Linked DNA regions of Elephas maximus indicus. The protein of the gene in region 2 purifies or fractionates together with the protein of the main gene of each other region. This does not show direct contact. Links are inferred from orthologs where the notes say so. Each region holds a gene or a part of one and is shown on either strand. Other genes may lie near its edges. The genes, in order: SUDS3, ARID4B, SAP130 and SAP30.

Region 1 (8,402 bases), on a different chromosome or scaffold from region 2:
CAGGGTAGAACTGTGCTCCACAGGGTTTTCCACAGCTGATTTTCTGGAAGATCACCAGGCCTTTCTCCCGAGGCACCTCTGGGTGGACTCGAATCTCCAACCTTTCAGTTAGCAGCCAAGCACATTAGCAGCTTGTACCACCCAGGGACTCCAAAACCACACACACATGGTCACTTAAAGATTTTCTTGCCAACTCTGTATTCCAGAAAAGCAATATGAAAACGACATGAAAGAGCTTGTGTTACTCACTGTTCCTTCATTTCTACATAGTCTTCTTCATCGTGTTTTGCCAGGTCAGTTTCACTAGCATCCTCAGTGTCTGAGTAAAATTAGGAAAGAAGGGTTAGTTAAATCATGAATCACAAAGTTAGTATCACCTGACACGGTGTAAGCACTTAATAAGCTTCTGTAAAATGAATTTCTACTCAGTGAAGGCCTATGTGAAGCCATCAATGAAAAACACTAAACACAGTTACCACAAAAAGAAAATGCCATTTCCAGCATACACAGCCAGAGGTATTCTCAGCGCATCCTTTATCTACAGTGCAGCCAGAGAACTGGGCACGTGAGACACAAGCAGTCATAGTCAAGGCTGCCACTTCTGCAGAAGCAAGAAAGATGGCAGTTCAGGAAAGGGAAATGTGGCTGTAAGGCTGGGAAACTGTAGGCAGTAGCCTTTCTCACTAGTCTAAAAAAAAACCAAATGTGGCCATCTCTTCTGGTACATGCCCAGTTTGACTCCTTAAGAGATCTGATGCCAGATACATACAACACACACACATACACAAAACAGTCGCTGTCAAGTCAGTTCTAACTCATAGTGGCCCCATGTGCTTCAGAGTAAAACTGTACTCCATAGTTTTTGGTGGCTGTGATCTTTAGCAAGATCACCAGGCCTTTCTTCCAAGGCACCTCTAGATGGATTCGAACCACCAACCTTTTGGTTGGTAGCCAACCGCTTAACCCTTTGTGCCACCCAGGAACTCTAAAGGATAAAAAGGAGAAGACAAAACAACTAATTGAATTCTGATAACTGAAATATTTTCAAAGTTGCAGCTACAGGGAACAGGAAGGAGGCAAGATGATCAAACAGAAACTGTTTCAAAACATTTTAAACATTGTTCTTAGAAAGAGCCAATGGCTGGGCTGTCTACATAATTTCAACAGCCCTACAGGAGCAGTTCAAATCCACCAGGCACTCCTTGGCAATTCTATGGGGCATTTCTACTCTGTCCTATAGGGTCACTGTGAGTGAAAATCGACCCGACAGCAATGGATTTGGGGTTTTGGCGGGGGGGTTTACTGGAGCCCTAGTGACGCAGTGGCTAACCGTTCGGCTGCTAACCAAAAAACGTCAGCAATGCGAATCCACCAGTTGCTCCCTGAAAACCCAACGGGGCAGTTCTACTCTGTCCTACCAGGTCACTCGACCTCAATGGGTTTGGTTTCTTACTGGAGGAAAAAAAATCCATTTTGGTTTCACCGCTCCCCCTAGTGGGTATTAAAAGCAGTGCAAGCGACTCATAATGAAAATCCCAGGTTACGGCTTGTCTTCTAGGGTACCCGAACCAAATCTGTAGAGCAGGCAAATAAACTCAAATTCAGGAAACTCAGCAGTCACCAGTGCAATCCAGAGAAGTGTGTCCTCAAAGAAGAAATAACCCTTTCTAGACTTTCAAAGTGTATCCTCCCCCGAAGACTCATAAAGTCATCAATCCAATTAGTCTCAAAGTCATCAATCCAATTGGTCTCTTCAACTTTGCAGATAACCTTTGGAAGGGCTACTGCAAGTCCAATTCTCCACAAACCCATCTGCCCTCCTTCAGTCAAAAGACCTTCAAGGAGCTCCTGTGACGTGCCAGCCAGCCAAGCTCCTGGGCCCCTGGGGGACTGAGATGAAGAAGGAATACTCCGCACCCCAGTCAGCCGGTCTAGCTTTTGCTCCACAGCCCCATATTGTTCCCGAATACTTCACCCATGGATTGGGCTCTTTTATCTCTTTCTTCTCCCTGCTCACGTCTCTTCACCTTTCTCCTCCAGACAGCCAGCACCCTCCTCAATTTCTTCCCCAAAACAGTGTTCCTCACACTTGCCAAACTGTAAAGCCCACTTTAAAAAGCAAGGCTCCACGAGACGACAACGCATAATGTGAAGTGCACGGAATTGAAAACACAACCCCTGGGCACCAGTAAGCAAATCCATATTTCTCCTCGTGCCTGTCTCCCCAGTGGGTGTAAAAAAATACAAAAAAATTCTCCTGTGTATTTACTGAGTACCAGGCCCTGGACCAAGTACTTCACGGACATATTTCATTCAAACCGCGTAACTACCCTAGGAGTAAGTACTACTACCAGCCCCCTTAAAGTTGGGAAACTGAGGCTCGGGAGCTTAGGGAAGTTGTTGAAGATCACAAAGTTGGGTTAAGTGACAGTCAAATTTAAACCTCAATCTGGCTGATTCCAAGTCCTGTTCTTTTAACCAACCTGTGTCTACAGTGCCCGAAATGGGGCTGATTTAGACATGGGGCGGGGCGGGGGGGGGGGCAAGTTAGGAACCAGGAAGCCAAACTCGGCTTTGCTCTAATCCTCTCAGGAACGAAAATGGAAGGGGGCGTATTCGATGCACTCCATGGGTGGGTTTCCCGTTCCATTCGGTGCAGACCCGAGGCTCCACTACGGACGGTTGGGGGTGGGAGGGAGAACCTTAAAGGGACCTCCGGCTCTGACAACATCTCCCTCCTCCCCGTAACTGTAGGGTACAACGTACCCCGGGATTTCCCCCTTCCCCAGCGCAGGTGAAGGTAACCACCCGGAGCCCCGTTCCCCCCAACCGCCCCCCTGGCCGGCCCTGCGCCCCCGGAGGTCGCCCTGCCCCTCTCCCATACACCCCGATCGCACCCCCGGGGTACCACCTCCGCCCCGGGCTACCAGGCGAGCAAGAGGACGCACCTTCGTCCGATTCGCGGCCCCGGCAGCTGCGCTCGTCGTCCTCGGCGCTCTCCAGCTCTTCCTCCTCCTCCGGGTAGTACTCCGGGGCCGGCGGCGCTCCAGCCGGGGCCGGGGCCGGAGCCAACAACCCCGCGGCACTCATGTCGCCCGCAGCAGCGGCAGCAGCAGCGTGTACCGCCGGGAGACCGCGGCCACCCGCCCCGGGGACTTGACGTCCACCTAGCAGAGCCCGAGGGGGCCGCCAACTCGAGCAGCGGGAGCCAAGGCGCCCCCACCTCCGTCTCCGCCGAGCTCCGCCCCCATCGCCCGCGCTCGGCAACGGGGGCCTCGCGCCGGCGGCGACTTCCGGGTCGCGAGCTGTCCGAGGACCGCCTGACTCCGCCATGCTTGAGGGAACGCGGCGAACGCTGCGACGCCTCCTTCGCCTAAGCACCAGCCCCTTCATCGCCGCCTAAAAATCCTCAACACTATGGTGCGAGAGAGCAGAGGCAGGATCGATCTCTAGAGTTAGGCAAATGTATGGACAGGCCTAGCTGCGGCCAGGACCCCGAAGCGCAGAGGCGACGTCCAGTAATAGCCGCCAGGCGGCGCCTGGAGCCGGAACTAAAGTGAGAGTCGTTAGCGTCCTAGGGGGACGGAGGATTTAAAGGACTGTTGGCAGGTGGAGGTGGGCTCTTTAATGTAAGCAGGTGAATCATATGAACCGTACCCTTTATAAGTCGGGAAACCCAAACATCCAGAGTTTGAGTGACCAGAAGGATGAGCCCAAGCCCTTCTCCTGACTCACTGGAGCTCTAACAACTAAAATAAAGGATGTTGATACTCCATCCTGGGTTCCGCAACAGTATTTTCTCAGCCCGTGGGAGCCATTTGTCTTTGTACAGGTTTATCCAAAAAAGGTGTTCACCTGGTTTTAGAGATAAGAAAGGATACATCACTTGCCTTAAAAAGTGGTTGCGTCCAGTCTGCCTTGTTTAGACTCCCAAACCCAGGCCCTCCAGAGTACAGTGGCTTCATATTTCCTCGAATACTGATATTTTAAAAGGTTATATTGCCCAATGCAATAACTTGCTAATCAACTCTCAAATAACCAAGTGGTGTATTTGCCTACAGAAAACTAATTTGGCTAAAGTAAGGAAGGTCCCTTGTGGGAACTCGGGAAACAAGAACGCTGACTGAAGTGGTAAATTAGTTTGTGTGATTCCCTCTGAGTAGAAGGCGATATAGTATTATGTTTTGGTTCATGTACAGATCTAGGGTATCCATTTTTCTGAGAGTCGTGTGTTCTAGTGTGTAGCAAGAAAAGGAATACGGAAAAGGGTCCAGAGATGTTTAACAGTTTCGCGAAAGCTAACAGAAAAACCCTAACCTAATTTATATTGCTACCCACGTCTCAGTAGAAAAAGTAATCTAAAAGTAGTAAAGTTAAACCCGTTACTAAAATCCCTTTCCGTACAGTCAATTCCAACCCCAATAGGTCACACTGCGACCGCCGCATAAGGTGTCAAAGGCTGTAAATCTTTTCTCCCTCTCAACTGCTGCTGTGTTCAAACCACCTACCCTTGGGTTAACAGCCAAGCACTTAACCACGGTGCCACCAAGGCTCCTAAAAGGCAAGCAGGAACAATAATATTCTGATTCTTAGATTCTCTGTAATCAGGTTTTTCTCTGAATTGGCCCCATCGTCTCTTAAAAATTAAAAACTTTATTCTCAACGCATTTAACTTTATTTTAATTTTATGTATTGTTTCAATTAAAATCTTGGCTCTATTTGTAAGAGATTTTTCCTCCCAACAAAACTCAACAATTTCCAGAATAGAATGCTGCCATATTTTTTAGTAGTCTGGGGGACTCAGGGATCTTCTTTTTTGTAAATAAGAATCATTCTTTGGCTGTAGGTCCGCCATCTATATTTAAATTAGAATTTCAGGGCTGTCTGTTGTCCAAAGAATGAAGTCGTTTTCTTTTTGTGTGCTGTTGGATCACATCTAAAATATTTGTAATCAACCATCTTGAGCAACTTGAGTTCCTATCAGTAGCAACAATCAGACCAAAAAAGCATCATGGAATGCTGCCCCGCCCTGCTCCATCTTCATAATTGTTGTTATGCTTCAGCCTATTATTGTAAACACAGTGCCAAGCCATCTCATTGAGGGTCTTCCTCTTTTTCGCACACCTCTACCTTCTCCTGATAACATTTCCAATATCCATGAGACAAAGTCTCACCATCCTCATTTCTAAGGAGCATTCTGGCTATACTTCTTCCAAGACAGGTTTGTTCGCTGTTTTGGCAGTCTATGGTATATTCAATATTCTTCACCAACTCCGTAATTCAAATGCATCAATTCTTCTTCAGTCTTCCTTATTTATTGTCCAGCTTTTGCATGCGTATTTTAAAAATTAGAGTTCTTTAAAATAGCAAAACATTCGAAAGCTGAAAACTGTATAAGGCAGAAACCTGTCAGAGAAGGGAAATGCAAGTATTTTCCACTAAAAGGAACAAAAGAAAAGTGGTAAGACTGCTCTCTATCAAAGGTGAAAAACTTTCTATTCCCAGAAAAACAAGGCAGTCCCGTCATTCCGGCTTTCACAGGTTTCACTGTATAATGAATTTCAAAAAAATAGACAATTTCATTTACAGTTGATTTCTTTTGTAGACACTGGGGTTTTTATCTTGCTGATGTTTTATTCCTATTTTTATCTTCCTGACTGTAAATAACATCTGTTGATTGTCATGCATTTCTTTTTATACGTAATGAACAGACACAACTGAACACTTGAGTGATGAAAACTTACCCCTACTGTCTTCTGTCCACGTTCCCTTCTGCAGAATTGGTAGGAAGAACTCAACTAATAAATGATCTTTAACGAATGGACACCTGGCAAAAAATTATGGTTTTGGTCTAACCCCACCTTTATAGTCATTTACTATGAAGACTATGGACGTAATTAAATTCCCTCAAAACCAAGTTCTACCTTCAAATCAGCTGTTTCCCCTCCCAAAATAGTACTCAGCCACTGCTTAGGAAACATCTACTATTTCAGAACTTGACTTAAAGTCCTGCTAGGTTTTTTTTTAGGCGTTTCCAGAATGCTTTGTGCCTCCAGGCCTCCTCTGCCTACTCTTAACACTGAAATTTAAAGAGGAGCATCATAACGGGGATAGGGCATGATTTATGACCACTAGGGAAACCATATGTATACGGATACATATGTATACAGGCCTTAGCCCTCAGAAAACTCTATATCATTAATTTTTTGTTTAAACTTCCGCTGACTGGACCAAAAGAATTGATAGAGTTTTCTGAGGGCTAAAGCCTGTATACATCTGACAAGGCTTATGATTCAAATACCTTCTCGAAATGAAATAATCTCTTCGTTAAACACTCGTTTGTCCAAGTCCTTAAGTTTACTTTGGAGCTCAGGGGTGAGGATAGCAGTTATCAGTATCCAGTATTGATGCGATCAACATATCCGGTTTCACAAAAATACAAGGAATGGCTCTGGGGTAACATAATGCACTTTCATCCCTGGCAGGCACACCTGGGTCAAGATGGGTCTCTGATTATCACAGGTTACTTGTGGGGTCAAAGTGCCTTATACTTTGCCCATTAGTTCAATCGGTAAAAATCTGAGTTTCTGGATAGGCTTGCCAGAGGCTTGCTAGAAGCTAACAAGGGTTCCCCTAACCCCCTAACACGGTTCCTGTCCTTACTGCTGTAATACCACAAGATCAAAACTCGCAAAGTGAATAAACCCACAAAGTATTTCTAAAGCTTCGTCCTTGTACCTATCAGAGTGTGCACCAGCAGGGCTGAACACTTAAGCACTGTATACATCTAGTATATAAAAAACTTTTTTTCCAGCAGCATTAAGCTGACTTGTCTTGAACGCAATGGAAAGAATGGCAATTCCCCTGCCAGAGAAATAAAAGGGTTTAAATCCAGAAAATATTTTGAAGTCCTAGGCGAATAAATGCCATATCAATTAACGGTATAATTACTGAGATAGCTGTGCAAGGGCTAGCAGGAGAATAGGGACATCTCCCAAGGCTCTACCTTGGTGGCCCCGGGCAGCCCAATGGGCCTTGGCCTCTGGGAGCCTCCCAGGAAAAGTTAAGGCGCTGGGAGGAGTGACATGAACTTTGACCTCCAAAGCAGCGCAAACAAGGCCGACCGCACCCCATCAAGCCCCATGAGTAACTGAAGTTACACCGTCTTCCGGGTTTGAGGACACCCCGCCCCGCCCCGGCCCGCCCTCTGTGGAATCCACCAATCGTCAGGTGCCATCGACAGCTCCGTTTCCCAGGCACCTTCAGTCAAGTACCTATATCTGGCCCCAGCCCTGTGCCTCGCGATCAGGGAAGGTCAGTAGAGAGCCTATCGGAGCCGAGCAGGGGCGTGGTCTGGAAGCTGGGGGCGGGCAGCCTGGGGAAGGTGGGGCGGAGCGCGCTCGGCGCAGTCGGGTGCGATTGGCCACCCCTGGCAGGAGCCGCACCTCGGACAGCAGCAGCGGCGGCGGCGGCCGCGATAGGGTCCGTGTGGCGCCCGGTGGCGGCGGCGGCAGCAGCGGCAGCAGCAGCAGCAGCAGCAGCAGCGGGGTTCTGCGTGCAAGAGTGGGACCCGACGCGAGGACTGGGGACGGAGAGTCTGTGCGGCCGAACCCGGCATTCAGCGACCGGACCCAGGGATCCTCCGGGGGACAAGCCGCAAAAGAGCGACTCGGGAACAAGTGTGAGAGAGGAAGCGACGGCGGCGGCGACGCCGGGCCCGGGGGCGGTGACAGCAGATCTGAGGTGAGAGCACCGGGGCGCGGAGCGGTGACAGCGCGAACCAAGGCGAGGGAACCACGGGTAGAGTGAGGTCAGCCAGGACCTGGGTGAGGGGAGCTCCGGGAGGGGCTTTGACAGGACCGACTGAGGAGACGAGACCCCGAGAGGGGCCGGGACAGCGGGTCTGCGGGGAGGGGACCCCGAGAGGGGCCGGGACAGCAGGCGTGAGAGCAAAGTACCTCGGCTGGGGGCCGGGAGAGAGGATCTGAGAGGAGGGCTCCGCGGAAGGGACCGGGACAGCGGGGCTGAGGAGAGGTCCCCGCGAGGGGACAAGAACAGAGTCTGAAGAGGGAACTCCGCGAGGGGCCGGGACGGTGGGTCTGAGGGAAGGGGTCCCTGAGGGGAGTTAGGGCGGAGAGTGAGGGAAGGGTACTCCGAGTGGGGCCGGGACGGCCAATCTGAGGGGAGAGGTCCCCGACAGGGGACAGGAACAGCGAGCTTGAAGACAGGGGACCCCGAGAGGGGCCGCGACAACAGGTCTGAGGTGAAGGGCTCTCGAAGGGGGCTCCTGGGCGCGGCGGTGAGGGGGACCCTGCGGGCCGCGGGTCTGGTCCCCGGGGACGAACGCGCCGCCGCTGAGCAGCCTGAAGCTGCGTCCCCGAGGAGGGGGACCCGCGGGGCCG
Region 2 (8,337 bases):
AGAAATTTTAATAACTTTTTCCTTTTAATATTACTGATTTTTTTAAGCAGATAAGAATGGAAATGTTGAGCACTTAAAATTAACAGTTCTAAAATAATACCAAAAAATTTGCATTTGCCTAATACTATGAAACTTTTAAGGCTAAAATTTCCAATATACTTTCATTTTTTTAAACAGACAAGTGAAAAAAAAAAAAGAAAGAAAAAGAAATGTTAAATCTAAACACCTTCAACCTCCCACATTTCTCTTAACCAAACATTTACAGAGAACCTAAGATGTGTCAAGCACTCCTTTGGGAACTGGGACAGATGACACTTATTCTAAACTAAACCCGTATTACTGAGCTCCTCAACTTCACATATTATTCAAACCAACAGTTTTCTTAAAAAATTCTTGTCCAACACTAAGGAAGATATACGGTTTTCCTAATAAATCCACTTTTCACCGTTTTACACAGGTCACAGGAGTTGGAGCTACTATCTGCAACTAACAAAAGATTCATTTCGGAAACATCACTGATACAGGAACTGAGCAGATAAAAACTGTTCCATGTAGGAGTTTACAGCACCCAAACTCAAGGAAAAAACCGATCTGGGCTCACAGAGAAGTCTGTAGCAGATACAAACGTCTCAACAGCCACAGATTTTACTTTCTTCTATAAACACAAGCATTACAAATTTTAATCCAGATGCAGTACTGTAAAACCGGTCTTGATTTCGAAGTGAAATACATTCTTAAAAATAATTCATCAAAGGAACACTCAAAAGTAAATGACAGTTACACTTTAACATATTATCTGTTCCATTTCTACACTTGTGAACACACTCTACCCTTTTCAAGCATTTCTCAGTATGCACCGGATGAAAAAAACATCTGCTAACCTCAAAATTCCACCAGTTGAATCTAGACATTTCAGATATCTAAGGCTTTTTATTCTCGAGTGTATTTTAAAAAATCAGACAGCATTCAATTACAGATTCTCTAAACCGAAAAACCACCACCTGTACTTTTATTGTTATCATTTCTTCCATCAATTAAGCAAACTGTACTTTTCAGACACCGTCATCCTCCATTCAGCTAACCTGTTTACATTTAAGAGAAACCTGGCCATCAATTTTCCACACATCACAAAGCAATACAGCATCGGACAATTTACAGACAAATTGGATCAATAAAGGAAAATAAAACACATAAGTCCCTAGAAATACAAGGAACAACTGCTATCTCTGAACTGTGGAAAGATCACCAAAATTCTCTTTGAAAACCTTTCAATCAAGATTATTTTCTCGCTAATGAAATAGATTTTCTGCTAAAAATTCGCAATACCGTTCAACAATAAATAAGATTTTCTTTCATCACTGTAACCGACAGAACCACAACAGTTCAGTTTCTAGAAACCGATTACTTGACCTGCTTTTTCAGTTCTACGTTTTAAAACATTCTAATTCGTGCAGTTATTCCTGTCCCTCCCTGCAAAAGGAGATGTTCTACCTAGAAGAATCACCCTCACTGACTCCAACTCACGGGCCCAAGTGTCCAGGCGGCAGCAAAGCCTCTGAGATGTAGCGATCCACGCCAGCTGACCCCCATCGTCTCCCGCGGAAAGGCATGGGCACCAAGCCACCAAACACACCTTCCTCTGCAAAACTCGGAGGCCCGACACGACGACCTCGGGCAAATCCCCTACTTCCTGAGTTCTACCCCCCAGAGGTTTGTTTTCAGTAGCCAATCTTACCTTCATTGTGATTCCGGGGCCGCGATCCCCTCGAAAACACCAGATTCACCTGCACCTGGAGGGGAAACAAAAGACCCCCGATCAGCACTTCAGACCCCCCCTTTGCGCCGGCAAAGACGCAGGGGACAGAGTAAAGCCTCAGCCCCGACACCTTTAAACGCTGATTCGGGGCTCCTTCTGGCCCCACCGTCCCCCCAAGGCCAGCCACCTACACCGCTCGGCAGCTTCCCGTCCCCATTGTCAGGACCCGACGGAGTTTCCCGTCTCCGACAATGACGCCATTTCTGTCAGAGAAGAAACTCACAACAAGCCCGGAGTCCGGCGCCGAGTCGCCTGCCCTCCCAGCGGCGCCTCCTCGCCCCGCCGCGCTGCTCCTCTGCCCTGAGGGCCCCGCAGCCCCGCGTCGGAGCCGAAGAGCGGCCGGCCCGGAGGAGGAGACCGAGAGGGGCGCGGAAGAAGTCCGGCCGACCCGAGGGGCCGCGCGCGGCAGGGCTCCCCCTCCCCCCAGGAGCCTCTGCCCGCGGCCCGTTCCTGGGCCGGGGACCCTGCGAAGCGGGAGCAAGACCACCACCTGCCCACACCGCGGGGGACAGCGTGAGGACCGGAGACCTCGGACGGAGCCCCCCCCGGCCGGGCCCCCCACCGCGGCCGAGGGCCGCTAAACCGCTGAGTCTGCGGCCGCTCGGCCATGGGCGATTCGGGCTCCGCAATTGCGGTGGGGGGGGGGGCGGAGGCTCCCGGGAAAAAGAGGCCCCGAATTCGGGAGCCCGCTGAGAGACCACCACGGCGATCTCCCTCCTGCTCCTCGACCGGGCCCCGTGACTCCCAAAAGGCTCCCTTACGAGACCCCAAAAGCCCCCAAAATGTCCCTACCTTTCTCAGAGGCGAGATCTGACCCTGGCACGTCCAGAGTCCCCTCCCTTCCTCCTCCCCCCCAAAAACCAGCAGGCCCGGGAGAGAGATGGGGGAAGAAGGGCGGCAGGTCCAGCGGTTGCTGAGGCTGAGGCTCCGGCTCCTCCTCCTCCCGCGGCGGCGACTGGTACCTTTGTTTGGCGGCCGCTCGGGCTCCCTCGCTGGGGGGGAGGGGGAAGACGAAAAATCCCTCTCGGACTGGAGGTCCGGGTCCCCAATCGCACTGCCCTCCAGAGGACGGCAGCAGTGGACCCTCTGTAGCTCTCACCGGGCAAAGGACCAGGCAGTGGCCGTGGTAGCCGCAAGCTTAAGCTCGCAGTCACCCTCCGCTCCGGCGCCCGAGCTGCTCACTCCGGACTCGACTGACGGGCAAACATCGCTTCCCCCACCAACCTCAGGTCCCCCCCCCCCCGCTTCTCCTCTCCTTTCACCCCGCCCCTTGGTTTTTCTCCCCTCCCCTACCTCTTTCCCGGATGGCCTCTTAGACGACCTCGGATTGGCTAGAGTTACTTAGAGCCCGCCTATACCTTCTTCTTATTGGTCTCTGCGATACAAACACCGACGCCATTTTCCCACCAGTTCTATGGAAACAGAAAGTTATGCCTCAAAGTTTCCGGGGAAATGTAGTCCAGCCTCTGAGGTCAATGCGCAAGCCCCTAGTCCAGAGAACTGCAACACCCGCAATGCCCCGCGCCTGCGAGAGACGGGAGGGGGAGAAAGGGGCGGGTGCGACAAAGCAGTGGGGAGGCGGCAACGACGCCTGCGCAGTGTGACCGGGATGGCGCATTTTCTTGCACCGAGTAATGCGGGGTCGCTGGCTGCTGAGGAGGGCGGAGAATTCTGTGAAGTAGGGGAGGGCCTCAAGTAGGCGTCGGGAGGAGCCGTGGTCTGAACTATAAAGTGGGAAGTTAATGCTGGGTACAGCTACTACCGGACCGGCGGCGTGAAAGTCGTGATATCATCGTTTAACCGTGAGCGGCAGCGGTGGCGGCTGGGGGGAACCCGGATGGTGAAGAGGGCGGGGGAGGCGGGGCTCAGAGAGGAAAGAAAGGGGGGCGAGGACCCGGATGCTGAACCGGATTGTGTATTTTCCATCTTTTCGGTTGAGACCCGGCAGAGTGAGGCGGCAGAGAGCAGGAGAGCGGGGAGGAAGCAGAAACCTAAAGACCCCTGTGCTAGGCAGAGTAAAGATTTGAAGTTCTTTTACCTAGATTTTGTTGAAAATCTGCCTCAAAGTTATTTATATCCCCTGCCTATATCTGTCAGGTGATTTTCTTCAGCCCCATCGTTCCCCGAGGACTTGGGTGGAAGGATTCATGCTGCGCTTCACATTTGTATGTCTCTAATTTAGCAACTCTGAAACCAGACGCTTTCCTTAAAAAAAAAAAAGCGTGATATTTTCACTTTTAATGCGCAAATTTGTGCCCTCATTTGCTCCTGTAGCGCGTTAAAAGGCACTTTCCATGCATCGGTCCTTCACATATTGATTGAGCCCCTATCATATGGAAAAGCTGGTATGGTGCCCAACCTCATGGACCTAAGTAGTGAGACAGACTAAGCATTAAATAAAATGGACACACAACTTGCTGTAAAATTGCGACTGCGGTAAGTGCTACAGAGAAAAGTTGCATGGTGATGTGAGAATTTGTAGTAGGGAATTTGGTTTACGGAGATAAGGGAAGGCTTTTCGAGCAAGTGAGGATTGAGCTGAGAGCTGATGGGTTAGCAGACGTTAGTTAATTAAGGAAACAAAAAACATTACAGACAGAAGGCATTAACATGTTGCAAAGCTTTAGGAGCTTTTCCAGTATGGGGCTGGGGCGGGGGGAAACCTTATAACCTTACAGGCTTTGTTAAAGAGTTTTGTTCTTATCCTAAAAGTAATGCGGTATCATTGAAGGATTCGCATCCCGACGGGTAATAAGATCAGATTTGAATTTTGCAAAGATCACTGACTGAAGAGTAGAGGACTAGACAAGCCACCGAATGCAGGGAGCCCAACCAGGAGGTCATTGCAGTAGTAGTCCACACGGAGGAGAGAGTCTGTTGTTCATATTAATTTTCATTGATCCACATTTTGAACAGATTTAAGGCAGTTTTTCAGTTTTGAAAGTGAGGAGTAGTTTGAGAGTCTCACAGAGGTATTCTGTAGTTACTCACCCGAAAATAAAGTAGTAGAATTCATGTAACACACTAATGTCTCTTTTACATTTAAGTCTAGTACTGGTAACTGAAATATCCAACTGTGACAAATTGGAGTTCTTTGAGTAAAAAAAAAGGCGGGGGGGGGAAGGGGCAGACAGGTCAGACCGTATGCCACAATGCATTGCCACAGTCCATAATACTACTTCGACTCTGAAGAAGATACAAGACTTGGATTTTCAGTACTTAAAAAATTGAGGTTCCTGTGTTTTCCTGCTGCTGAGGATAATTGTGTATAAAAATCCTTCTGGGAAAGGAAGATTGACTTATTTGTTGAATATTCTTTTACTTCTCTGAATAAGCAAAGAACACCTTTTTGAAATGTATAACTAGTATTTTAAATTGAGAACTAGCATCAACCAAAGCACTAAGAATTGAAACAAAGGTTAGCTCTCATTTCTAGATCAATAACAGTTGCAATGTTATTGATCCAGACAGAAACGAAAAAGAACTCTTGAAATTTAGTTTCATTGATTTTTAAGTTTAATGGGTTTTTGGAGGCTGTGAAAAAGTTACAGACATGATTTTTGTTCTCAACCTAGTTGGGAAGAGATGGCTAACTGGTTAAATAGAGAAATGGATGAGAGATGCTTTTCGAATTGTTTTAATTCTCTTCAATAATCTTTTACCTAAGCAATTATTGTACCTGTTTAGGAAGAATTGGCATTTTTCTGTGATCTCTAAGAATGAGATAATCTGTATCAAAGCCAGAGATAGCTGTCAAACAGTATGGGTAATAGGTTACTAATTTGGCATTCGAATCATTTCAAAATACTTTCTGAGCATTTTTAACCTTGTGACCCCAAAAGCTCCCCAAAATACTAATACTTAGTATTAATTGCTAGTCAAGGTAGATACAGAAATTTTCTGTCTGGAACGCTTCTCTATTCAGATTGCAAAATGATTTCCTGGTGAAGTGCTGATTTTGTTTGTTTCACAAAGATGATCAAGGATAAACTACAAAAACACAGCTTTCAAACCTACAGAGTAACCTAAACTATATACTATTTTCATGTTTTTATTTCCAGTTGTAATCTGCTCTCGGTAGGAGTTAAACTTTTTTTTTTTTTAATTTATGTCAGCTGCTTTATACTTCATGTAGACATGCATATTTGTTTAGCGTTAAAGATTAAGATACTCTGTAGCTGTGGATATTCATCAGGGGCACATATAAAGGATTCGGGGGGTACATGATCTCTGAGAAATTATATGTAGAGTTTTGTGGTGTGTGTATATCTTTATGTGGGTATGTTCACATATATGCAAGGTTGGTTGGTTGGTTTTTTTGAGGAGGAAAATTCATAGCTTTCATCAGATTCTCAATGTTTCTTCAACCCATGCTTGTTTTACACTACATGGAAGCATGAAAGCCCTTGTACAGTTGATGATAATCTGTGGGTATTATTAGTCAGCCTTCGACACGTGCTTTCCACATGCCTAATACTGCATAAGAATGTAGGTATTTTATTCTTTTCTCCTATTGCCATGTTACACATTTCATTCTACTGCAGAAAAATAAGTACATGATAAGAGAATGTGGTTCAATCCTTTTACCCTTGTATTAGTTGCCTATCAAGAAACAGAGTACATTAGGTACCAGACTTTCACTGCTTAAGGTGGTCCTTAAGGAAGACAAAAGAAGAATTGATGCCTTTGAATTATGGTGTTGGCAAAGAATATCGAATATACCATGGCCCGCCAGAAGAACGAACAAATGTGTCTTGGAATATGTACAGCCAGAATGCTCCTTAGAAGCAAGGGTGGCAAGACTTCGTCTTACGTCCTTTGAACATGTTATCAGGAGGGACCAGTCCTAGAGAAGGACATCATGCTTAGTAGAGTAGATGGTCAGTGAAAAAGAGGAAGACCCTCAGTGAGGTGGATTGACACAGTGGCTATGTCAGCGGGCTCAACATAGCAATAATTGTGAGACTGGCACAGGACTGGGCAGTGTTTTGTTCTATTGTACATGGGGTTGCTATGAATCAGAACTGACTCGGTGGCACCTAACAGCAGCAACAAGAACGTGGTCTTAGCTCTACTGAGCTTTTAATCGTACTGGTACGGTGAAATGTCAGCACTAATAATGAGATTTTGGAAATTGTTTTACTTTTGTGGTCACTTTGTCAGCATTTACTTCAAGATTTTCAGATTTGCTCACCAGCATGAATACAAACCAGTATGTTATGTACTGAAATAGGTGAAAAGACTTGTACTTCGGCATCAGATGAGTTCTGCCCTCCTAAGTATTTTTTACTTTTCTAATTTAATGCCAGGAAGGAGAAACAGAACTAGAATTCCCTTGTCTCAGTGAGTGTGAATGATGAGGTCATAGTCTGAGATGACTGGGTTATAAAAGATGGAGTTTAGTATTAAACATTATGAAGTTAGTAAGACTACTTTAGAAATTGAAGAACACATCCTGAGTCTTTTACAACAAAAAACACCACCACACCTTCTTTGGTTATATCGTGGTATGATGGAAAAACCAGTTGTCATCAAGGCGACTCCGACTCACAGTGATCTCATATGTTCCACAGTACAACTGTGCTCTGTAGAGTTTTCAGTGGCCGTTTTTTTAGCAGCATAGCCATGCCTTTCTTCCTAGGTAACTCTCAGTGAATTTGAACCTCCAACCTTTTATTTAGCAGTAGACCATGTTAAGATATAATGGGCCAGAACTAATTGCCATCAAGTCAGTTCCAACTTACGGTGATCCTTTGTGTTTCAGAGTAGAACTGCTCTCCACAGGATTGTCATGGTTGTGACCTGGTGGTACAGTGGTTAAAGCTCTGGGCTGCTAACCGAAAGGCCAGCGGTTCAAACCCACCAGCCGCCCCGCAGGCAGAAGATGTGGCAGTCTGCTTCCAAGCCTTGCAGTTCTACTTTGTCCCATAGGATCACCATGAGTAGGAATCGACTCGACAGCAGTGGGATTGGTTTTTGGTTTGACCTTTCAGAAGCAACTGCTAGGCCTTTCTTCCCAGGTGCCTCTGGGTAGCTTTTAACTGCCAGCCTAGTGTTTATGCATTTGCACCACCCAGAGACTCCAAGGTATGATGGAAGCAACCTGTTAATCATCTCCAGTTCCCCTTTTCACGCTGTCTCGGCCATCTGCATCAGAGTCACACCACGTGCCATATTAAAAATGAAAGTTCCTAGTCCCCTGCCCAAACTTAGAGAATCGTAAAAAGACCTATGAATAGCCAAAACAGAAAGTATGTGAGCTCAACTTCATTTCCTTTATTCAAAAAAAGTGGCTGTCACTGAAACGAATGTAACTGTATGCTTTATTATCTTCAGCTTACTGAGAGAACTCTCTAAGGTGCCTTCCAATTCTGAAATTCCATTATGTGTGACTCTTTGAACAGCACTAATCATGAACTACAGTTAGATACTGTATTACAGTTAGTCTTGTTGTATCTGTAGTGCAGCTAAAAAAAATTGGTTAGGAGAGCACTAGTGATCCTAGACACCAAATCATAGTC
Region 3 (7,341 bases), on a different chromosome or scaffold from region 2:
CTTCCTTGGGTGGTCCCAAGTGATTTGCAATTGATCAGCTGCTAACCTAAAGGATGGTAGTTTGAACCAACGCAGCCGCTCTGTGGAAGACAAGCCTGGCGAGAACCAAGGAAACCCTATGAAGCCATTCCACTCTGTAACACATGGGGGTCTGTCATGAGTTGGAATCAATTTGATAGCAATGGGTTTGGTTTTTTTGGTATTATCCAAATAGATGTTCCCCTAATTAATTCTCAAGGAAAACAATTTCATAACTTTCCTCAAAATCTATTTGTCCAGAATGACTTTGATTTGTCTCTATTTCATTAATATACAAGTAGTGATCATTTCCTCTTAAGTTGTTTTTAAGATCCATTTGTCATCTCCTCCTGGACATTCTGCAGTTCATTTTTACCAGAAAAGAACCTTAAAGCAGTAGTTAACTTCATTTTAATCCATACTTCCTAACTTTAAGTATGCACTTGAAATCCTCACAAGCTTAGGATCCCAAATTGGCTCTTCTAAAAAAAATGGGAAACATAAATACCTATTTATGAAAAACTTCTATACTCTGTTTTCAAGATCAATTTAAAGAATAAACATTTATACATATATACTCTTCAGAAGTAAAATTATAGACAATTTTGGTCTAAGTCAATGATTTCCCTTTTATTGAGCCATCAAAGTTTGGGGGCAATTATTAGTAATTAACTCCATTTTTAATAAGCAGCATAATTCCTTGTAAAAAAAAAAAGTGTTCACAAATATTATCTTCGGCTATGTTCCTTTATTCTGTTGTGAATTTATCCCAAAGACTGTCAAAAATATTTGTTAAGGAGTAAAAGAGCTTTAAGTCACTCTGTAAGAACTTACAGACCACTACTTTGTGCTCTGTATTTTATTACGTATAGTACATTCAAAGACGCATGGTCCCAATCCCTGAGCAGCCTTCAGTCTAGGGGAGGTCCTAACTTGAATTGTTGTTAGCAAAGACTTCCCAGAGATGACATCTGAGATGAAAGCTCAAGAACAAGAATTAGCCAGGTAAGTGAGTGGCTGCACCATTTTACATTCCCACCCAAAAGGATGCGGGTTCCAACTTCTCAATGGATCTTGCCAACATTGCTGTTTTCTGTTTTTTTTTTTGCATCATTGTCATTCTGATGGGGGTGAGGTGGTATCTCACTGTAGTTTGGATAGCATCTCCCTAATGGCTAAAGATGTTGAGCATCTTTTCATGTGCTTGTTGGCCATCTTAACATCTGCTTTGGTGAACTACGTCCTCTGCATATTTTTTGATCAAGTTCTTTGTCTTTTTGTTGTTAAGTCCCCAGAGGGTATTTACTAATTTTTAAATTAGAAAACTAGCAATACTCTTAATGCAGAAAGCAATGCACAATGTTAAACATCTTACCTGTAGCAGTTGGGTTTATCAATCCTGCAGAGCCACTGTTTGAAATCTGTGAAGGAGCTTGGCCCAACCCAGTGGAAGGGGTTCCTAAACGAGGAAACTGTTGAGAACTCATTTCCACCTGCAGTACATACAGTCACATGGTTATTGACGGATTCTGAGGTTAAAGTAACGGAAAATTAAAGCATCTTTAGTGACCCATGATATCTTCACTTAGTAAATACATTATTTAAAAAAAAATACTTGTGATCGACATACAGTACTGAAATTACCTAAGTTTTTAAGGTATACATGTTCAATTAATAATAAAAATCATTTGTATAACACTGTGGGATACTAACCACGAGAGTAAGATGTGGCAGCCAGCTTCCGTAAAGCTTACAGCTTTGGAAACTCTATGGGGCAATTCTACTCTGTCCTATTCCTTGTGAGTCGGAATCGACTTGATGGCAACTGGCTTGGTTTGGTACTAGTGAGATACTATGATCCTCCACAGATACTTACGGATTGCTGTGATTAAAAAATCAACATAGAATCCTGTACTACAACCACATGGCAGGTACTAACAGAATGCATATGTACCTATCTGTGCAGTTGTATGGAGAATGACAAGTCTTTTTGAAAGTTAAACCTCACACCAAGGTGTACAGAACTATAGTCAATATGACAGAGGAGATTTGGGACAGAGATGCCTTTTCCTGAAAGGATCAGGAAACTTTCATCAAGACTGGATCCAAAAAGAATTCTCACAAGGCAAAGGCCTTTACTGACAGATTTCCTTTTTTCCCTTCTTTCATATTCCTCCACTAAGCCAAAAGGACCAAAGACCTTCACCGCCTCCATTCAAGTCGTCCTCCGCTCGTCCCCTACGGGCAAGCTCCACTGATTTCCCCCGATTCGCCTGTAACCCTACCCCATCGCCAAGCCCATCGCTGAGATCAAAGAAAACACAGGTTTCCAGAAACTTCGGGTCTCTGAGGCTCCATCTCGCCGGGAGGGCCGGCATCCTGGGGAGCCCCAGGACGACCTGCCTGCCCCTTTACCTGCAGCTGACGCCCGCACCTCCCGCTTTCATCTCACCAGGCCGGGGGTGCCGTGGAGGGCCCATCCCGGTGGCAGCGCGGGTCTCCGGGGGGCGCGAAGAGGGCTCGTGCGGAGCGCGCCGAGGGCACGCCGCTGTCCAGCCCAGCCGGCCCCACTCACCCAGTCACTCGGCCGCCGCAAGGCTCCCAGTCCTATTACCCCGGACCTGCCCCTACCCTCCTTGCCCGCCCACTGGCCCCCACACCGCGCGCGTCACTCCAGGGCCGGCACCAATCCAAAGCGGCCTGCGCGCTCTGGTCCCGCCCCACCCTCCCGCCGACTGCCAGCCAATCAGGCGCGAGCCCCGCTGGGGCACCCCAAACCTCTCCAGCCGCAGCCAATGGCAGAGGAAGGCGAGCTCTCCCAGTGACGGGGGCGGGGCACGGGCAGGCCCCGCCTCGGCCGGGGTCTGAAAGCGGCGGGCGCAGGGCCCGGATGTGGAGAGTCACTTTAAACTGCTCCAGGAGCCAAACTCCCCGGGCCGCCCGCCCGCCCGCCGGCCGCCGCCCGCAGCTCCGACTCCTCCACTTCCCCGCCCAGGCCCGAGCCCGCCACGCCCCCACGCCCGGTTCAGCACACCCCTCCCGGGAGCCTCTCTCTTCCTTGCCCCGGGACGCCCGACCCCTGTCGCCGGCCCAACCGCCGTGCCCAGCTCGCAAAATAGCCTGGGTCCTAGCCGCAGGAGATAGGCACAGCTGCCCTTCCCCGGGGACGCGCCGCGGACGAACGCTGCAGCCCGGTTCGGCCGCCCCGCCCCCTCGTCTCCTCCCCTCGCCTCCCGGGCGCCCGTCCCGCCATTACCTAGGTGCCTGCGCCTAGTGGCCGCCGCGCCGCCTCGGGCTCAGTCCTTTGCGCTCTCAGCCCCTGGGGCAGACGTCCTCCGGCTCCGGACCCGCTGCCGCCGCCTCCGGAGCGCTAGCCCTCTACCCCCCACCCCTCAGTCCAGCGCCGCTGCTTCCGCCGCCGTAACGAGCCTCCCGTCTATTGGCTGTGGAACGCCCCGCCCCCCTCGGGGAAAGCCAGTCACCGCCCAGTGTGAGTGGAGAGAAGGCGGGCCCGCCCCCTCGGTGCCTCAGAGGCCTCTGGGAAATGTAGTCCTCGGTGCCAAGAGGGCGGGCCGGGAAGGAGGTGGGAGTGCCGGGACGGGGCGGGGCCTCTCGGCGAACCGGGACTGGTCCGTTCACCGCTTTGCTGTCTGGAGTATTTGGGCCTCTCCTCTCCGCCGTGTGAGAAGATAGTGAATCCCCTCCCCTGTGCCCCAGCGTGACAGCACTAGGTTCCGTTTTCCTGAGAGGAGAAGCGAGCGGCGCGGGAAAAGAGTAACGGAGGCTGAACTGCAACGGGCCGACGGGGTTGCAGGCGCGGCCGAGAGCTTTCCTGAGCCCGCCTCCCCGCGCCGCCTGGGGGACTCGGTCTCGCCCCCGAAGGCCACGGCCAGAATAGCCCCGGCATCGTGGGAGGATTGTGCACACTGAACTGAGCGACCGTCTGGAGTCTGCGGCGGGCGCACAGCCTCCTGAGCTGCACACCCTGCCCAGCTTGCCCGGGCCCCCGTTAGAGGTCTGCTCCGAGAGGCTCTCCTGAAAAAGAACTGAGGCATTGTGCACCTGCTCCGTTTTTCTGGATTATACAGAATCGAAGGATGGTTTTGTTTGGTTCTTTTTTGTTGGGGTGGAGGGTTGGAGTTTATACACCTCTGGAAGTCGTAGCCAAAAGCTGCTGAGGCAAAATTTATGTCTCTTAATAATTTTTTAATAATAGAGATTAGTCCCCATCTTTTTTTCCCTCCCCAGATGGTAATTTAGGTATGGGGGGTTCGTGACTAGTCAAGATGTGTTGTTGTTGTGTTGTTGATGCCGTCCAGTCATCCCGACTCATAGACACCCTATAACCAAAAAAACGAAACCCATTGTCTTCGAGTCCATTTCCACTCAGAGCGACCGTATATGACAGAGCAGAACTGCCCCATGGGGTTTCCAAGGCTGTGATCTGTATGGGAGGAGATGGTCAGGTCTTTTCTCCTGCAGAGTGGCTAGCAACCAACCTTTTGGTTAGCAGCCTAGTGCTTAATCATTGCGCCACCAGGCCTCCTTAGTCAAGATGTACCCATACCCACTGCCGTCGAGTTGATTCTGACTCATAGCAATCCAAAGGTCAGAGTAGAACTGTCCCATAGAGTTTTCAGGAGCGCCTGGTGGATTTGAACTGCTGAGCTTTTGGTTTGCAGCCTTAGCTCTTAACCACCATGCCACCAGGGTTTCCTAGTCAAGATATAAATGGGCTCAAATCCCTTCTTCCTATCATGCACTGCCAAGACAACTGCTGGCTAGGAGGACAGTAGCTCAGGGCAGCAAGAATGAGTCTGAGATACCCTGCCCTCTTCCTTCAAGCCACTTTCTTTTCTCACTTTCTCCCCTTCATTCCCAAACCTCTTCTAAAAGTAACGACTATCAGATACTTTAGCCTCCTCTGTCTCATTGTTGAATTCTGCTCCCACCGCCCTTCTCAAACTGCTCCCCAAAAGTTGCCACTGGCCTACTCCAAATCCAGTGATCCTTACTTAGTTCTCCTCTTGTTTAGTTTACTGAACAGGTGTTCCTACTTAAGGTGTTCTTCCCCTGGCCTCCATAATCGCACCCTCTCCTGTTTCTACTCCTTTTACATTATATCTCTTTTTGCTCATAAATATGGCACTCTCCAAGGCCCCAAACCTCTTTTAATGCTACTCCCAACCATTTAAAATGCTTCCTTCTAATTGACTCAATTTTTTTTTTTATCTGTATGGTGACCTGTCTTTGAATTGCTCACATGTATTTCCAAGCGCTGTACCAGTTCACGTAGCTGTGTTACAAGCCGCTCAAGCTTAACATATTGAAAAACTTCTTTGATTTGCTTCACCTATCTACTCCTCCTGGTTCCTAGGCTTGGTTAAGGGCACCACCATTCTTTCTGCCTTTGGTTTCAACTCGTTTCCCACTCTTCCATCACCCAAAGTCACCATATTGGATTGATTTTGTACCTTTTCACCTTTCCAAACTCTTCCATAGCCCTGGCTCCAAGCTTCATCATTTCTTGTCTTGATTAGACTAATATTGCCCCCACTCTAATATCTTCCTATTTGCAGCCTGTTCTCCAGAGAGTTCTTTTTCTAAATTACTAATCTGCGTATGATGTTCCAATAATTTAATAATATATTCCAGTCCATTAAATCTAGTGTCCAAAAACTGTAATAATTTAGCCCGTTCTACCTCTCCAAACACTGGATACTCTCTCGACAACAGCTTTCACCAGTTCTCCACAGTTGGTCTTCCAGGGTTTTACTGAAGCCTGAAAAGTCTTCTATAGGTCTCGACCCTCAGTAACTATCAGTTAGAGTTCTGCCAATTCTGTAATGCCTAACTGGAAAGAAAGTGATTATTATTCTCTAAGAAGCCTTTTTTTATGGATTGAATTGTGTCCCCCAAAACTGTGTATCAACTTGGCTAAGCCGTGATTCCCAGTATTGTGTGATTCTCCACCATTTCTCATCTGGTGTCATTTTCCTATGTGTTGTTAATCCTACCTCCATGATGTTAATGAGGCAGGATTAGAGGCAGTCATGTTAATGAGGCAGGACTCAGTCTACAAGGTTAGGTTGTGTCTTGAGTCAATCCCTTTCAAGATATAAAAGAGAGAAGCGAGCAGAGAGACAGAGGGACCTCCTACCACCAAGAAAGTGGAGCCAGGAACAGAGTGCATCCATTGAACCCCAGGTCCCTGTGCTGAGAATCTCCTTGAAATAGTTGAGCAGGGGAATATTATGACAAGGATCTTCCTGCAGAACTGACACAGAGAGAAACCCTTCCCTTGGAGCTGGCACCCTGAATTTAAACTTCTAGCCTTCTGAACTATGAGAGAATAAATTTCTGTTTGTTAAAGCCATCCACTTGTGGTATTTTTGTTATAGCAGCACTAGGGTAACTGAGACACCTTCCTCACATTTCTCTCCTTCCCCTACTCTCTAGGATACTTCCATAGAACTTCCTCAATATCTCTATTACAGCACTAATTTGTGCCTGCCTTTTATTCCCCCGGAGTAGGAAGGGAAATAAATGACTTATCTTTGTATTCTCTATCCAGGAGACATTCAGTAAGTGTTTGCTGAATAGAATTACAAAAACATCCACAAGAGGGAACACAATAGAGAACCCCTGAGGGAGCAGGAGAGCAGTGGGATGCAGACCCCAAACTCTCATAAAAAGACCAGACTTAATGGTCTGACAGACTAGAAGGACCCCAGTGCTCATGGCCCCCAGACCCTCTGTTGGTCCAAGACAGGAACCATTCCGAAAGCCAACTCTTCAGACGGGGATTGGACTGGGCAATGGGATGGAGAGGCATCCTGGTGAGGAGTGAGCTTCTTGGATCAGATGGACACTTAAGACTATGTCGACATCTTCTGCCTGGAGGGGAGATGAGAGAGTAGAAGGGGTTAGAAGCTGGCGAAATGGATACAAAAAGAGAATATGGAAGGAGGGAGTGGGCTGTCTCATTTAGGGGGAGAGCAATTGAGAATACGTAGCAAGGTGTACATAAGTTTTTGTGTGGGAGACTGACTCGTAAACTTTCACTAAAAGCACAATCAAAATTAAAAAAAAACCCACAGTACATGAATGAAATCTGAGTTGTTATTAGTTACTAGGGACAGTTTCTGCTGCTTTATTCATCCATGCCTCCAGTACCTCACATAGTGGACATTGGAAGGAAAACTGATGCTTTGCCCATTGTTGTTACTAGTATTTAGAATTCCCATCCACTGATCTTAGTGTGCTGTTTGGAGATGAAGACACCTTCTTGTGCCCCAGCTGTCCCTTCTACTGTCCTCAGGT
Region 4 (7,861 bases), on a different chromosome or scaffold from region 2:
ACACACGGGCCACACTAAGTTATTAAAAATAACAGTCAACAGCAACACTGTTTCTGTAGGCCCTTCTTCCACCCTGCTAAAACTTAGAAGCCTGACAAACTTGGTAATACAACCACAGCTAATAGGACAGAGGGGGAGGGGTGCCAGACAGTGAAGGGAGGGAGGCAGAGAAAGAATGAGAAATTCCAACCCACTGAGTTTTGTCACCAAATTGTAGCTAGGGTGGACTGAATTAACTAGTTAGTTCACTGCTGGATTTTTAACTGACAAGGGGAAAGACGATGTTGTCCACAATTTTATTATCTGTTTGATAGTATCTTCTCTTTTTAAATAGCATATTTTAGTATATGCTTCCTGATTTTTTTTCTAACTTATCCAAATTATATCTCAGATACAAAAGCTACATTCATTTTACAAATGAGCTACTCATTTCATATTCTAACCATATATGAATTTCAATTACAAACTTTTCTTCCTGAGTATTTAAAAGAACCGTATTTATCTACAATGTTTTTCCAATCAAAGCAACCTGAAATTTTTCTATTCACCTGAAAAGTTTTTCATGAACACGACTTGAAGAACTGTTTCAGCCGGCAGAAAGTATCACAAATTAACTTTTCAAAAACTTTAATTACATACAGTCTTGAGAGCTGGACAGTAATATTTGAAATACTGGGCTTCATACATTGACAGTTCATTCCTTTAAAAAGAACGATTAGGGACGGAGCTATAGGCTTTTAAATCTCTTGCTAAGTGCAACTGAAAAAAATAAAGGAGGTGGGCTAGGTTCTGGCATCTTGTTATCCATATACCGTCAAGCCAGAGCTCCGAAAAGTGGCAATGGCTGTTTCTAAAAACCTCACGGATGGCCCGAGAATAGACGCGCAGAAAGAAGGGAAACAGAAATCCTGATGGCTGCCCAGCGGACGGACAGCCGAGAGGCGACGCGCTCCCCACGTTCGGAGCAGAAAACGCTCCCCACCCAGCTTCCCTGCTGGGCGGCGGGAGCGGGAGGGGGGCTCGGGTCCCCCCCCCCCCGGTGCTCCAGGGAACGCCATGGAGCCCAGAAACGAGCAGGATCGCCCTAGCGCGTGGGGCAAAGTCCTGCACGACCCCGCTTCCCCCAGACGAGAGCAACTGCTCCGCCGGCCCCACGCCAGCTCTGGGGACAAAACAAAGGCGCCTCCACGGCAGGAGGGGCTGCCGGGCCGCACGGAGCCCCCTCCCGGGCCCGGAGCGCCGGTGCCCTTTGTCTGGCTTCCCGGCCGCCCCGAGAGGAAGGAGGCGGGGAGCGCGCGGGAGAGGCGCGCGGAGGGCGGCGGCGGCCCGCGGCCAGCGTGCCCGTGTGCAGCCGGCCGTCTGCGCGTCCCGGGCGGCCGTCGGCGTCGCCGCCACCGTGTCGCCCGCTTCCTGCCGGAGATCTCACAACCGGCCCCGCCGTCACCAAGCCGCCCCGCCGCCCCGCGCGCCGCACGGCCCCCAGCCCGCCGCCCCCGCGGCACTTACGCTCTTGTCCAGCTCGATCTTCACCTTCTTCTGGGAGATGCTCTTCTGCACCCTCTTGCTGAAGCTGGCGTTGCCCGCCGCCCGGCTGCACCGCTCGCCGTCCTCCCGCAGACAGCACAGCTGCCCGGGGCCCGGCCCGGCCGCTCCCGGGGGCCCGGCCGCCGACACCGCCCCGGCGCCCGGCACCTCAGCCCCAGCGCCCACCCCGGCCCCGTTCCCAGCCGAGGCGGCGGCGGCGGCGGCGGCGGCGGCCACCACGGCAGCCACCGCGGCAGCCGCGTCCCCGCCGCGGCTCATCTCCTCAGGGGTGAAGCCGTTCATGTCTCCCCGCTCGGGGGCGCCGGCGCTGACAGAAATCCTCGGCCGCCTGGCCGCTGCTCCTCCCTCCTGGGGTGCTAGGGAGACAGCGGGGGCCCGGCCGGGTGTCGGGGAAGTTCACTGGGCACCGTGTCCGGCGGCGGCACCGCCAAGGGCCGAGCGTCCCGGGCCGGCTGGCGTCTGCTGGCGCCGGGACAGCGGACACTGTTTGTTCGGGACTCAGAGGCGGGCGGCGCCTGGAGCGGCGATCCCGTTCCCTGTCACATGCCGTCTTCAGCAGTTGGACGGCCGCGCCTCCGCCTCCCTGCAGCCCCCGGAGCCGCGCAGGCGCGACGCGCCTCCTTCCCCGCCCCCTCCACTCTGCCGCGGAGCACCACGGGGACTGTAGTTCTCTGCGGCGGAGTCAACCGGCGCTCCGCCCTGCCCCTGCCCGGGTCCCTCGCGAGTTGAAGGAACTACTTATCCCAGCATGCATCGCGCGGAGACGGGCCGGCTGAGGAAGCTCTCGGACTCTATTTTTGTTTTTCGAAACGCCGGGTAAACAGGGACGTGTAATTGGCGGTTACGGTGTTTTCTCCGCACTTGTCTCTCCTGGGAAGTTAGGCCGTGGTTAGCTCCTGGGATTTCGCGGAGTCAGTGGTGTGGCAGTGTACTGATCACACCTCCCGCGTCAGACCAAGCGGTCAGCCGACTCTTGAGGCAAAGCACAGCGGAGGCGGGAGGAGTAAGCCTGTGGGAGGGTGGGGAAGGGAACAGAGTTTCGGGGCCGCTTTCCTCGCTGTGGCCAACAGTTCTTGGTGTGACCGCGCTTTATGGGGAAACCTAAATCAAGGAGAACTCGGGCGTCCTGGTGCTTTCCGGGCCCTCGGGGGAGAGCAGCCCCATCCATTCACGCACCCAATTAACAGGGCATCTGCTGCTCGGTGGAGAACGCCCATCCCTACCCCTCGCCCTTGACCGGTCCTCCTCACAAATGCCTCACTGAAGGCCGTGTCTAAACCCTGCTACATTCCTGCAAGGAACACGTTTGGGTTTGGGGCTCACTAAGTCAGCTGCTTCGTGATGTGGGGCCACTGACAAGCTGACAGTAGCAGGGCTGCTCTTCACCGACACCTCCAATCCTTTCCATTTCTCCTCCGATGGATCCGGAAAAGGGCGGCGTCTAAGAGAATGTGAAACCAACGGCAAAGCCAAGGCGGCTGGCCGGCTCCTCAGGAACTTGCCAGCGTTAGCTCCCCGGAGTGCGAGGGGAAATGGAAACCACATCCCTGGGTCGTCCCGGCGCGCGTGCACGTGCGCGCGTGTAAGGGCGTGTATGTGGGTGCGTGCGTGTGTGCGCGTCTGCATGCGGAGGGCGGGGTACAGGATGGGAGGGCTGACACGAAAGCTGCGGCTTTACAGTGACTTCGTTACAGCGCTTCCTGTATCAGCAGATACGCCTTGTCTAACGATCCCAGTGTTTATATAAAAATACTTAATATTTCAGACAGGACTTCTTTTTGAAAGTTCTCTTAGACTTACTACATTGAATGAAAGACGATTTTTAAAAAATGTTTGAAAATGCTCTCTACGTTGTTATTCAAAGCCGTCTTTTCATGTGTAGTATTTCAGTTCCAGGATATGGGAAAGGAAAAAAAAAAGTAAATAAACTGAGTGGGAAAAAGGAAGATGCTGAATAAGCACTTGGTGTTTTTTAAGCTGCACTGTCCAATAGGGTAGCCACTAACCATATATAGCTATTGAGCGGTTTGTGGTTATTGCGACTGAAAAACGAACTTAATTTAAATTTAAATACTGACGCGAATCAGTTAATGGAAAAATGTTTAGTATCTCTGGAACTTAGATAAATGTGTCCTTTCAACTTAAATTTTAAGAAAATTAAATATAGCATCTAAATTGAGATGTGCTGTAAGTTTACACTACACGCTGGATTTTTTTTTCTTTTTGTTGTGCTATAAGTTTTTGTAAGTGAAAGTTTAGAAATCAAGTCAGTCTCTCATACAAAAATTTATATACACCTTGCTATATACTCCTAGTTTCTCTCCCCCTAATGAGACAGCACACTCTGTCTCTCCACCCTGTATTCCAGTGTCCATTCAGCCAGCTTCTGTCCCCCTCTGCCTTCTCATCTCCCCTCCAGACAGGAGCTGCCCACATAGTCTCATGTGTCTGCTTGAGCCCAGAAGCTCACTCCTCACCAGTATCATTTTCTATGTTATAGTCCAGTCCAATCCCTGTCTGAAGAGTTGGTTTAGGGAATGGTTCCTGCCTTGGGCTAACAGGAAGCTCTGGGGGCATGACCTCCAGGGTCCTTCTAGTCTCAGTCAGGCCATTAAGTCTGGTCTTTTTACAGAATTTAAGGTCTGCATCCCACTGCTCTTCTGCTCCATCAGGGATTCTCTGTTGTGTTCCCTGTCAGGTCATACACACTGGATTTTAAACACTAGGTACAAAAAAAAAGAATATTGAATAGTCCGTTAATAATTTTTACATTGATTACATGTTGAAATGATAATATTTTTTGATATACTGGTTAAATAAAATATATTAAATTAATTTGATCTATTTCTTTTTTTAATGTGCTACTCGACAGCAGTGGGGTTTACTAGAATATTTAAAATTACACATATTGGTCACATTGTACTTCTATTAGACAACACTGTTTTCAAAGTATTAAAGCATACTGTTTATGGATATATTTTCTTAAATGGTAAAAAGGAGGACATATGAATGGATGGATACACCCCAGCTCAGGATGGTGGTCACATCTTGGGAGGGAGACCAAGGGATAGTATCTGGGAATGACTGTTACAGATTGAATTGTGTCCCCCCTCAAAATACATGTTGGGGTCCTAACTCTATACCTGTGGATGTAGTCACATTTGGGAATAGGGTTTTCTTTGCTGTCAGTGTAGGGTGTGTCTTAAAAAGAACAGATCAGACACAGAGACAAGCAAGTATACATGGAGGAAAGATAGATGCCATGTGGAGATCACCAACGGACCAAGACTAGAGAAGCTGAGACAAGGATTTTTCCCCAGAAAAGACAGCCTTCCCCTAGAGCTGGTGCCCTGGATTTGGACTTCTAACCTAGTTTGGGAATTGTGAGAAAATAAGCTTCTGTTTGTTAAAACCACCTACTTGTGGTATTTTTGTTACAGCACTAAGAAAGTAAGACAATCTTAAAGGCAATTTCTGCTGTATTTGTAAGTATATATATATAGCAAAGATAATAGTGGGATATTGGGTTTTAACCTTTTTCCTTATAATGTATTTTAAAAATAATTCACATTTAAAAAAAATTCATGGTATTGTTTAGTTCTTGCTCTTACAAGCTTGTAATTTATCTTCTGTAAAATGTGACCAAATCAGTTCACGTATGTATGTATGGGTTAGTTATGTATCAGTTTTACATGAACTTTACTAAAGTCAAGAATTGTGGCTATACCTCCTTTATACACAATACAGTATTTTTTCTAAAATATCCAATTAAACACTCGTTTATTGCATATTGCATACTAGGATCTTTTTTCTGTGGTATCGCTGGTTCAGTGGTACAACTCATCTTCCATGAGGGAGACCCACTTTGATTCGTGACCAAAGACCTCCTGCAGCCATCACACATCTGGCAGCGGAGGCTTTCCCGTTGCTAGTACGCTGCATAAGTTTCAGCAGAACTTTCAGACTAAGATGGACTGGGTAGAAAGGCCTAGCGATCTACTTCTGAAAAATTAGCCAGTGAAAACCCTACTGATCACAATGATCGGATCCATAACCGATCGTGGAGATGGTCCAGGACCGCACAACATTTTGTCCCATTGTGCATGGGGTTACTCCACAGCAGGCAACAACAATAGGATCTTTTCTAAGTCCCTGGTGATAGAAAAAGAGTTGGGAGAGGGTCTTAGCCATTTTGGCGCTCACCTGTTACTAGGGGAGACGGCTTGACAAGCACGTTTCAAAAGAGCATGATACAGGCCTTCATAGAATTAGAGAAAAAGTATAGACATAGCACCTAGGAGAGAATGATTAATCTCTGGTAAGTAGAAAGGACTCCTAGAGTAAGTGACATGTAAATTCTTACTACCAGGTTTAAAGTACCTCTTCAATAAATTTTTCATGATTAACATATTTCATTATTTATTTTATAAATTTCATATGCAGGGTGGGGACTCCTTGCTTCAAGTGTAATTCCAAGTCAAGGTTGGAATCAGATTTTAGGGGACCTCAAGCTTATATAATTTGAGGAGCCCTCTTTAAGTAAAAGCATATAAAATTATCAATGCAAAATTAGGTACCCACTGTCCTGGAGTCGATTCCAACTCATAGCGATCCTATAGGTCAGAGTAGAACTGCCCCATATGGTTTCCAAGGCCGTAATCTTTACTGAAGCAACCACCACATATTTCTTTTGCTGAGGGCTAGTGGGTTCCAACTGCCCACCTCTCGCTGAGCGCTTAACCACTGCACCACTGGGGCAAAATTAGGTACAGAGCTTGAAAAGGATCTGTCCAAGTGAGGAACAGATTCATGGGCCTGCAACCAGTGCAGCCAAACAGAGCCCCACGCTCTGAAAGGCCCTTCTCCCTGTGTACTGCACTGCCCACCCCCTTGGGGTTTAATCTCTACAATCACTATCATGAACTTCTTTATAATTTTATCTTTGTGTTTGTGTTTTACAAATGAAGTCTAATGGAACACTGGAGGAGGAGCTGGGGCTTGAAGCCCTAGATTACTCCAGGTAGCTGATGAACCAGTCAGCTTCCCACAGCGTCCCTGCTTTTCTCCACCCTCCCCTCCAGTATCGGTCTGATCCACAAGCACCATCACCAGGAGTGTTGGTCTGGTAAGCAGGCTCCTCCCCACCCCTGCCCTCACACTGAGTCACAGAGCAGGGCTCTGGACCCCCGTAAAGCTCTGCATTCAACCTGTAAGAAACCCTGTGTCCATTAAAAAGAATCAATAAAAGATAAGAAAACATCATGACAGGCCCAGAGAGAGACTGTGGAAGAGAGGAAAAAGAATTTTTCTCCTGCGTTTTGAACAAGAGGCCCCACATTTTCATTTTTCACTGGGCCCCTTAATTACATAGTCAGCCTTGATTGACAGCCCAGAAGGCCCCCATCATAAACCCCCTCTCCCTTCTATCATTCTATGGTATTTACTATGACACTTTTCATTATAATTTTACCATATTTACCCCTAAAAATATTTTTTTTAGTTTTGCCTGTTCTTGAACTTTATATAAGTAGAACTATGTAGTCTGTATTCTGATATCTTTGGCTTAATTCACTCTGGTTGTAAGACTATACTTGTATATAGTTTAACTAACTCTTTTCATTATAGTAAATATTCCATTGTATGAATAAACTACAATTTTGTTATCTATTCTATTGTTGATGGAAGGAGCCCTGGTGTCACAGCAGTTAGCCGTCGGCTGTTAACCAAAAAGCAGTTTGAACCCACCAGCTGCTCCCAGGGAAACACCTGGCGATCTGCTCCCATAAAGATTACAGCCTAGGAAACTCCTGTGGGGCAGTTCTACTTTGTCACACATGGGTAATAACAACAAAAACATTATTGATGGACATATGGCTTGGTTTCAGTTTAGGGCTATTGAAAGCAATGTTGCCATGGAGTTTTTGTACATGTACCCTGATATACATGTGCTTGCAGTTCAGTGGAACCCTGGTGGCTCAGTGGTTAAGAGCTTAGCTGCTAATCAAAAAAAAAAAAATGGTCGGGAGTTCCAATTCACCAGTCTCTCCTTGGAAACCCTATGGGCAGTTTTACTATGTCTATAGGGTGGCTCACATAGTAGGAATAGATTCGATGGCAACGGGTTTGGGTTTGTGTGTGCGCGTGCATTTCAGTAGGATATATATTTATGACAACAGTTGCTGAGTCAGAGGGGTATTGCATAGCTTCAACTTTACTAGATAGTTCCTAACTTTTTACACTTCTACAAGCAGTGTCTGAGAGTTCCATCTTTTCCTGCAATTTTGTATTTTTATGCCTTTTTTTTTCTTTTAACAAT

Evidence for each region.
Region 1: the proteins of ARID4B (region 2) and SUDS3 purify together in Homo sapiens (affinity purification with western blotting; 3 studies listed by BioGRID, with this or other methods). This does not show direct contact. The link is inferred for Elephas maximus indicus from reciprocal best matches to the Homo sapiens genes ARID4B and SUDS3.
Region 3: the proteins of ARID4B (region 2) and SAP130 fractionate together in Homo sapiens (co-fractionation; 4 studies listed by BioGRID, with this or other methods). This does not show direct contact. The link is inferred for Elephas maximus indicus from reciprocal best matches to the Homo sapiens genes ARID4B and SAP130.
Region 4: the proteins of ARID4B (region 2) and SAP30 purify together in Homo sapiens (affinity purification with mass spectrometry; 5 studies listed by BioGRID and IntAct, with this or other methods). This does not show direct contact. The link is inferred for Elephas maximus indicus from reciprocal best matches to the Homo sapiens genes ARID4B and SAP30.

The regions. Positions count from the first base shown.
Region 1 is NC_064840.1:15,882,211-15,890,612, reverse strand, and holds the start of SUDS3 (sin3 histone deacetylase corepressor complex component SDS3), read right to left. Parts: upstream 3,276-8,402; 5' UTR 3,091-3,275; coding exon 2,949-3,090; intron 320-2,948; coding exon 250-319; intron 1-249.
Region 2 is NC_064842.1:28,988,605-28,996,941, reverse strand, and holds the start of ARID4B (AT-rich interactive domain-containing protein 4B), read right to left. Parts: upstream 3,041-8,337; 5' UTR 2,916-3,040; exon of another isoform or gene 2,609-2,915; intron 1,791-2,608; 5' UTR 1,742-1,790; coding exon 1,736-1,741; intron 1-1,735. UniProt on the Homo sapiens protein: Acts as a transcriptional repressor. May function in the assembly and/or enzymatic activity of the Sin3A corepressor complex or in mediating interactions between the complex and other regulatory complexes.
Region 3 is NC_064824.1:15,803,740-15,811,080, forward strand, and holds the start of SAP130 (histone deacetylase complex subunit SAP130), read right to left. Parts: upstream 3,424-7,341; 5' UTR 3,275-3,423; intron 2,645-3,274; exon of another isoform or gene 2,471-2,644; intron 1,512-2,470; 5' UTR 1,506-1,511; coding exon 1,394-1,505; intron 1-1,393. UniProt on the Homo sapiens protein: Acts as a transcriptional repressor. May function in the assembly and/or enzymatic activity of the mSin3A corepressor complex or in mediating interactions between the complex and other regulatory complexes.
Region 4 is NC_064839.1:69,620,337-69,628,197, reverse strand, and holds the start of SAP30 (histone deacetylase complex subunit SAP30), read right to left. Parts: upstream 3,108-7,861; 5' UTR 2,869-3,107; exon of another isoform or gene 2,555-2,868; 5' UTR 1,828-2,554; coding exon 1,507-1,827; intron 1-1,506. UniProt on the Homo sapiens protein: Involved in the functional recruitment of the Sin3-histone deacetylase complex (HDAC) to a specific subset of N-CoR corepressor complexes. Capable of transcription repression by N-CoR.